2 linked regions of the Coturnix japonica genome follow. The protein of the gene in region 2 purifies or fractionates together with the protein of the main gene of each other region. This does not show direct contact. Links are inferred from orthologs where the notes say so. Each region holds a gene or a part of one and is shown on either strand. Other genes may lie near its edges.

The links.
Region 1: the proteins of VPS50 (region 2) and EIPR1 purify together in Homo sapiens (affinity purification with mass spectrometry; 4 studies listed by BioGRID and IntAct, counting the BioPlex papers as one, with this or other methods). This does not show direct contact. The link is inferred for Coturnix japonica from reciprocal best matches to the Homo sapiens genes VPS50 and EIPR1.

The regions. Positions count from the first base shown.
Region 1 is NC_029518.1:85,457,004-85,461,385, reverse strand, and holds the start of EIPR1 (EARP and GARP complex-interacting protein 1), read left to right. Parts: upstream 1-1,440; 5' UTR 1,441-1,506; coding exon 1,507-1,548; intron 1,549-4,382. Other genes in the region: TRAPPC12 (trafficking protein particle complex subunit 12), read right to left, coding at 1-832. UniProt on the Homo sapiens protein: Acts as a component of endosomal retrieval machinery that is involved in protein transport from early endosomes to either recycling endosomes or the trans-Golgi network.
Region 2 is NC_029517.1:20,937,827-20,941,643, reverse strand, and holds part of VPS50 (syndetin), read right to left. Parts: intron 3,741-3,817; coding exon 3,623-3,740; intron 3,538-3,622; coding exon 3,502-3,537; intron 1,278-3,501; coding exon 1,195-1,277; intron 524-1,194; coding exon 481-523; intron 1-480.

The sequences.
Region 1 (4,382 bases), on a different chromosome or scaffold from region 2:
TGACAGAAATAAAATTGGACGTAGTAAATGAATCAAAAAAATCTGAAGCTAAAGTATTAGTGTTAACAGTATCACCAAAGAACTTGCTTAGACTAGGACTGGGCTGAACCACCTGTGGATTAGACTTCACTGGAGTCTCAATGATACTACTGAAACTGGGAGATTTCACCATCTGAGGCTCGAAGCCATCAGGCAGGAACAGCTGTGGCTGAGCATTAGCATTGTTTGCTTGGCTGAAAATAGTACACACAGGGATAGGCTCAACCTCAGCAGATGGTTTGCTAGTTCTGGGCGATGATGTCTGGTCATCGAGTTTACTTTCCTCAATACCATTTGGCTTTGTTTCAACGGGAATGTTGTTTCCCAACTTTGGTTCATCTTTCTCTGTTTCCTGAATTGATTCCTCCTTTAAAGATGCCTGATCATCAGTTCCAATCTCAGAGATGTCTTTGGGTGTCTCTTCATGTTCAGTTTCACTCTCATTACTTAAAAGCTCTTCTTTGCCCACTTCTGCTTGAGTATTTTGGTTATCCTTAGCTTCCATTTGCTCTACAATCTCCTGCAGGCAACCGAGTTCACCGGTGTCATCTTCACTGTTGTTTGGAGAGTCTGAAATAATGACACTCTCCATCATTTGTTCATTAAGCTTATCTATAAAGTTATTAGAATCTTCTGATACAGTTTCATTCCCTTCAGACTCATCACCACCAAGATCAATGGTTTCCTCATGAAAAAGGATTTCTTCCCGAGTTTTCTGCTGAGTTGCATTTCCTCCGTCCTCTTCATCCAAGGTGCTCTGAGCATCCTTAGCACTGCCTGTACTATTCTCCATGGCACTGAAGGGAGAAAGGATACGCAGAAATTAGTTTGGCCACTCCAAATAACCACATACCAAACAAAAACTGTAACTTTTACACTAAAAACACAGACATGTCACCGTTTGACATTTTTCCTCCAATATCTGCCCAAGGAATGAAATCACAAAACGTCTCTCTTCAGCCCACAGCGTTCCGAGCAAACCCCAAGCGCTGGGATTCGCTGGCAGATACATCCACCTAAGCACACGCAGCAAGACAGCGGCTTTTGTGCCTGCAAGGACTGATCCGGCCTAGGCAGGAAGGGAAGCACGGCTGACACTGACACTAACACTGACACTGGCGCTGCTTCGGCCCCTCCCGCACAGACCGAGGCCGTCCAGGTTCGGGGCCTCCGCAGGGTCCCCCCGGAGCTTCAAGGTGGGCGCAGCACCCCGGGCACCTACTCTCCTCATCCTCCTCTGCGCCCTCCTGCAGGCCCGTGCCCCACTGCCGTCTCATCGGATCCCGTCCACCCCTACTCACCTCACCGCTCGGCCCGCCGCCCCCGCTGCTCTTCCCCACTGCGCCTGCTCCGCCGGCCGAGGAGGGCGGTATTGCGGCTGCGCCGGGTCCGCTCCGTAAAGCGGCCGACGGGCAGCGCCGAGGGTCAGAAAGGAGCAGAGGGGAGAGGCAGGCGGTGTGTGTCGGCATGGAGGACGACGCGCCGGTCATCTACGGGCTGGAGTTCCAGGTGGGTGCGGATGGAAGAGGGTCGGTTCAGCTTTCAGCAGCCGTAGGAGCCGTTGTGCCGCTCCTTGAGGCCCTCGGTGAGCTGAGAGGCCCCGCTGGGGCTGCTCCTTTGCCGTGTCCCTTTGCTGCGATGCTCGGCTGTGTCTCCGGCGTGCCCTGGGCTTCTGCTTCCTTGTCAGCTTCTTGTGTGCTTCTCTAGCAGCCTTCTCTTTTTTTGTGCTGTGTGGATGAGATGCCAGTAGTCTCCAGTAGGTTCTTCAAGCTGTTTCTTCCTTTTCAGGTTCTCCCCCCGCCCCATTCCTATTCTGAGGGTAGAACATGGAACTTAACAAGAAGTTGTGAACTGTACTTGGTTATATCCCTATATACCCTTGGAAAGGGTCCAGAGGAGGGCCACAAAGATGATCAGGGGGCTGGAGCACCTCCCCTATGAGGACAGGCTGAGGGAGTCGGGTTTGTTCAGCCTGGAGAAGAGAAGGTTGCGGGGTGACCTCATTGCAGCCTTTCAATACCTGAAGGGAACTTACTCCCAGGAGGGGAGTAAACTCTTCGAAAGGGCTGACAATGGCAGGATATGGGGAAATGGTTTTAAGTTAAAAGAGGGTAGATTTAGGTTGGATGTTAGGGGGAAGTTCTTCACTAGGAGAGTGGTTAGGCCCTGGAACAGGCTGCCCAGGGAGGTTGTGGATGCCCCGTCCTTGGAAATGTTCAAGTCCAGGTTGGACAGGGCCCTGGGCAACCTGATCTAGTAAATGTGTATGTTTGGTGGCCCTGCCAGGCAGGGGGGTTGGAACTACATGATCCTTGAGGTCCCTTCCAACCCGGGTCATTCTGTGATTCTGTGTGTGATTCTGTGAAAAGTGGTGCAGTTTCTTTCTCTGGAGATATTCAGGACCTGCCTGGATGTCTGCCTGTATGACCCACTGTAGGGAACCTGCTTCAGCAGGGGATTGGGCTAGGTGGGCTTCGGAAGACCCTTACAACTACTATGGTTCTGTGATTTTGGATATAAGGACTGAGCTTCCTCCTGGACTGTCCTACTCTACCTTATGAACCTGTTTAGGAAACGCTTCTTTACAGAAAGGGTAGTTAAACACTGGAATAGGCTCCTCAGGGAGGTGGTTGAGTCACTGTCCCTGGATATGTTTGAGAGTCATTTGGATGTGGTGCTCAGAGAGATGATTTAGCAGAGGGCTGTTAGGCTACTATGGTTAGGCTGTGGTTAGACTTAATGATCTTTGAGGTCTTTTCCAATCTGGGCAATTCTATGATTCTATTGATCATAATGGAGGAATACAATCTCATAGTCAGTGCACTTCTTATAAGTTGTAGGGGAACACCCAGTAAGGCAGCCAGGTAGATGAGAGTGATGCTGTCCCATTGTTCCTTCCCACAATAAGGTTTTACTCAGCTGTTTTTAGCAACAACTTCCCTACTCCTATTGCTGTTGTAATAGGAGAGGCTGTATTTCTTCTGCGGCTCACAGAGCAATATTTTCATTCTACAGCAGATTCAGTAATACAAAGTAATGAAATAAATGCATACCTATGTGCATTTTTTCATTACTAAAATGTTTATGGAAAGTGTTCTGGTGATGTGTGAGGGTTCTGTTTATGAAGTTTGGTGCTCTGTTTACTGAATTGCTTGCTCTGTGATGCTGACTACGCAAATAGATTTGTCTTAGAAAAAATATCTGATTGGTTTTCCTCTCATATCAGAGCTGATGTGTAGCACTGACCTGCACCACAAGTTAAATCTACTCAAGTCTGATAATTTGCCATTGTTTTTTGTGTAGCTTGTACTTAAACATTAATGAAACTATTATTTCTTGTAGAATGTAATATGTCCTCTGTTTTTGTAAAATTCATAGCTTTTTTCTTGGAGGTCTTAATGACAGATTTCTCAGAAATATAGGAAATCTAGCCTGTGTGCCTGGTCATGGGCCTGCACTATTCAGCCTTTCACATCACACATCTCTTGGGGACCTCTTCCCTTCTGCAATGTGTGCAACAGCTCTGGTGGGTTGGGGAAGCAAAAGTACTGAGATGGTGGTAATCAAAGAGAATTACACTTAATTCAGAGCACTTAGAGAGAGGATGGGGGTAAGAAAGCTGGTTTATGACTGCTTCTTCCCAGTGTATGTGTCAGAAGCACTGTGTCTACAGAAGAACTTTTCAGCCTGTTTAATGAATTTTTCTTTTGTTGCTTAAGTTGCTTTTTATTCTTTTATTTTCAGTTCCTGGTAGTCTTTCCTTCATGTCTATGACAAGCTTACTCAAAGCTGAGATTAGAAATGATAAAGCGTTTATAGAGAGGGAGGGATCTTTTTACTTCTATTATTTATATGTCACAAACCCAGGGCACCTAGAAGCTACATTAGAGTTTGCAGACTTGCCCATCCTGTGTTTGTCTCCAGGAGTCAATAACAATCTGATTTTGGATACTGCCTGGAAAAATGTGGCTGTTGTAAGTATGTGTTTGATCTGCTTCAGTGTGGCATGGTATTTAAGTTTAAGAATCTGAAGCTAATTCCTTCTATCACTGCAATACAAGTTTTTCTGCATAATTTCTGGCCAGTTTTAAGTAAGGCAGTTTAGAATAATGTGCAAATACTATTTATTTTTAATTTGGTTTTCATGAAAATACAGCCTAATGGAAGAAGAGTATCTTAGTTCACGTTTCATGAAAACATAAATGGAAGATACAGATTCTGAGCCTTTATACTAGCATATAAGTACTCGCTGTTTGAAACTACTTCGACAAACTTTGATCAATAAATTATTGAATTTCATTCTGTTCAGGACTAGTTTAATTTCCTTTCCCCTGTTTTACCAC
Region 2 (3,817 bases):
TATTGGCCTTACCCAGCAGCTTCCAGTTTGCTGATCTCTAAAACTTCCAGTGGAACTCATTTCTCATGTAGTTTATCCAAACCTATTATTGGCATGCTGCTTCTGGTTAATTTTCACAACTTTTTAGGACCACATTCATAGCAGTTAACCACTGTGCATCTTTATCACACATGGAGCATATCTTTGCTCTAGTACTTAAATTACTGCATGTCTTTTATTGGATTGCTTTACCACTTAATGTTGACACAGTCAGCAAGCTGGGCTCATAAATTCGATACCGTATTATAAACCATTTATGTTCATTTCAACACAAAAGGCTGCAGGAATAGCAAAGAGTATAACATTCCAAGGACCATATTTGAAAAAATATGCACATTCAGTAATTGCTAAAGAGAATGCATTAGAAATATTTAATGCTAAATACACTAGTATGTATAGGTTACCTACTGATATTTACTAAATCAACATATTCATTCTTACCTCTATTTGTTCCAAAGTATCTTGCAGTTTTGAATTCAACTCGCTATCAATGAAAGAAAAAAAAATGTCTGAAATCAAACTACTGATCATACTAACAGTGGTGTATTCTTAACGCCAAAGACCTCAACTAAATCAATTATTATGGGTAATTACTCTGAAGTTGTAACAAACCACACGTTTATAAAACAGCCAATTATTTCTTCTGTTTCATCAAAAACAAAAAAAGAAGTATTTCTAAACTAGAAACTGTAGACATACTGCTTATTTTCAATTCTGAAAGCAATTTAACCTCAGTGGCATAAAGCTGTATATTAGCTATTTTCATCACCAAAAATTCAGGTAAGTTGCCCGTCCAAAATCATCTTACTGAAGGTTAATTAATTCCAGGTTAAAAACTTCCTTATTAAAATGTATCCATCTGTAGCAGTCAAAACTCAGCCTTAGCCAAAACTTTACCTGACAACATACTATGAGACTTAGAAAACAATGACACAGACCAGGCAGAGGTTATATCGCGTTAGTAGTGATTTGTTAGTAGTGGTATAGGGGAACAGCACCACTGAGGGTCTTCATACTTTTATAAATCCCTTAACATTACATTTCTAAGAAGAAAATCTAGTTTAAATCAAAACTGCTTTAGAGACTGAGAAATAATCATCACTGCTTTGTATCATTGACAAATATCCAGAACGTGAGATCAGCACGTCACCTCACCTTATACAACTGTAGTGTTTGAAAGTGCTGGCAGCTTTCTGGCATTCCAAACATAGTTGAATAGCTCCTGGATAGTCCTCTTCCTTGGGATAAAATAAAACAGAAAGCTAATTTGGCTTTGGAAGCAAACACCACAACACTCATTCTTCCTTAGAAGCTAATGAATAAACGTAATGACCAAAATATTTCACCACTTACATTTGTATAGTGTGAAGTTACAGCAAACTATTGAGGGTCTGCTGTAAAAATTAATGTGCAAACCATTCAGAATTTTAAGCAGGCAACATTGGGTGTGAGCAACATTTAAAAATACTGCACATATTGTGTTCTTATGCAAATGCTTGTTTACCTACAGATTCAAAGAAAATGTATCAGAAAGCTCTTATTAAAAAAACAGCTTTCTCATTTAATTTTCAAACATTTGTTAATACAACACAATCCATTTATGAGCGGGGAAGAGGTAAATTCAAGCAGGCTGCAAAACCAACAGAGACACATGAGAGACACACCAGTATTATGCAAAACAAATATTTTCTATTTACATTGATACATTCAATAACTAATGAAAATGAATTGTAGACAACTAGTTCGCAACAGAAGACCCCAAGACGAAAAAAACCCAAAACTTTGGGGGAAGAAAAAAAAGTTGCTCTAATTTATAAAAAGAACACTTATTCAAACCAGGAACCATATGATGATACAAAACAAAACTATATGCTCAAGACTGTACAACCCCAAGGTTCTGCCAACAGTGTCTTGGCTATAATTACTACTTTTGTATTTTATTAAGGGTCTTGGCCAGAATCTCAGAGGAAGGAAAATCCTCATTACTAACAGCTTTCCTGTGCTTCTTTTTTCCCCAGTTATATCCATTATAATACATGCTTCAGAGAGCTCAAATGAAAAGCTGTTACTGAATTTTCAGATTCAGTGATTGAACATCAAAAGCACAAGAGCAATTTATATTCAGCTACTACCATAGTAGTTCCTCTATGGAATTTCGGAAATGAAACCGCTTTAGCAGCAGCATTATAATACAAATCAGATTTACTATAAAAATATAATACAGATTTGCTATTTAAAAAAAAAAAAAAAGGGGGGGGGGGGGGGGAGGGGAAAAAAAAAAAAAAGGAATGCTGAGAAAAACCTACTTTATCCATTACATGATCTCTAAACAGCAAATCAGCTTAACATGATTGCTGCAATTACAGCTCTTTGCATTATTCTCCATTGTAAACCCAGGACTTTCTCCGTTAAGTCTACCAGAGCTGTAAAGTTGCAAGTTCCATGCTTTCAAGTCAAAAAGCCTGCTTGCACTGTATATATTTCTAATATATCCCAGATGTTTCTCACCTTCCTCTGTCCAGTCTTTTTTAGTTGGAAATCCTACCTAGATGGTCCTCCCTGAATGGCTACTAGTAGCCTTTGCATATCCTCCAAGCTTTATCTTTCTCTTGGAAAAAAAGAATAATAATAAAATGGCTAATATGTGGAATACAGTACTTGTGATCAGAGAGTGAACACTGATCTAGAACTCCACTTAGCCAGAAAGTGTGCCTTCAGCAGTTAATACTCGAAAATCATAGGCAAAATTATGGTAACCTGTCATTAGGGTATTTGTGCAGATGCAACAGCCACTTTTCTACATCATGATAGCTCCTAGGAGCAGAGAACGACACCTGATCTTTTGTGCAATACAGTACAGCAAAAAATAAGAAGCTAATAAGTGTGCAGGGCTTGGTGAGCTAAAGATAATGTTGATGCAGCCTCAGGTGAATCAATGTATCTTGTTTGGTAAAGAGCAACAACGTACGTTACCGAAGATGGGATTTAAGAATCTTAGGAGTAAAAATGAGTAAGGTTCTAAATCGAGTCACAAGGATTATCACAATGATGTTCCATTTGATCTGACATCAGCTATAAATATTCAGCAATCTACAAGTCAAAATTCGTACATGATATTATTAAAATATAGCCATCAATAAGCTTGCCAAGCTTTCATACAGTTTTAAAACCTAAAGACAAGATCTTATTTTCACCCTGCACATTTTCTCCTACATTTTAAGTAGTGTATACTAACACAAACACCTTATCAGAAGTATCTTTAGTGCCATAGCCTGTGTACTACAACTTTTTACATAACTTGCTATTAAAAAATTAAGCCACTAAATAAAAAGAATCACACTATTCCACCACAAAGGCCCATCATATCCTGTTCATAAGATGAAGGAAGAAGGGATAGTTAAGAGGACTAACAGAAGACAATTTAGAATAGCTTCAAGATACAGTAGTCTGGTAGAGACTTACCTCCAGCATCTCACTTAAACGCACATCTGTTCTTTGCTGAAAAGAAAAATAAAACACTAATAACTACAAGGAAATGAACAAAAATATTCTGCTATTAACTGGAAAAAAAATCTGTATATACCAGTGTTTTTATTGTCCTCAGAGACTTCAGTAGTCCAATAAGCAACTGTCTTTTTCTTTGATTTGCAAGAAGTCCCAAACTGGTTTGTGTGAAGCCTTCCTTTGCAATATTCAGGTGTCTGTGTAAATTAACAATGAACATGATAAATTTAATGATATATAAAGTAAGGCTTGTTTTAAGTAAATGCTACCACGT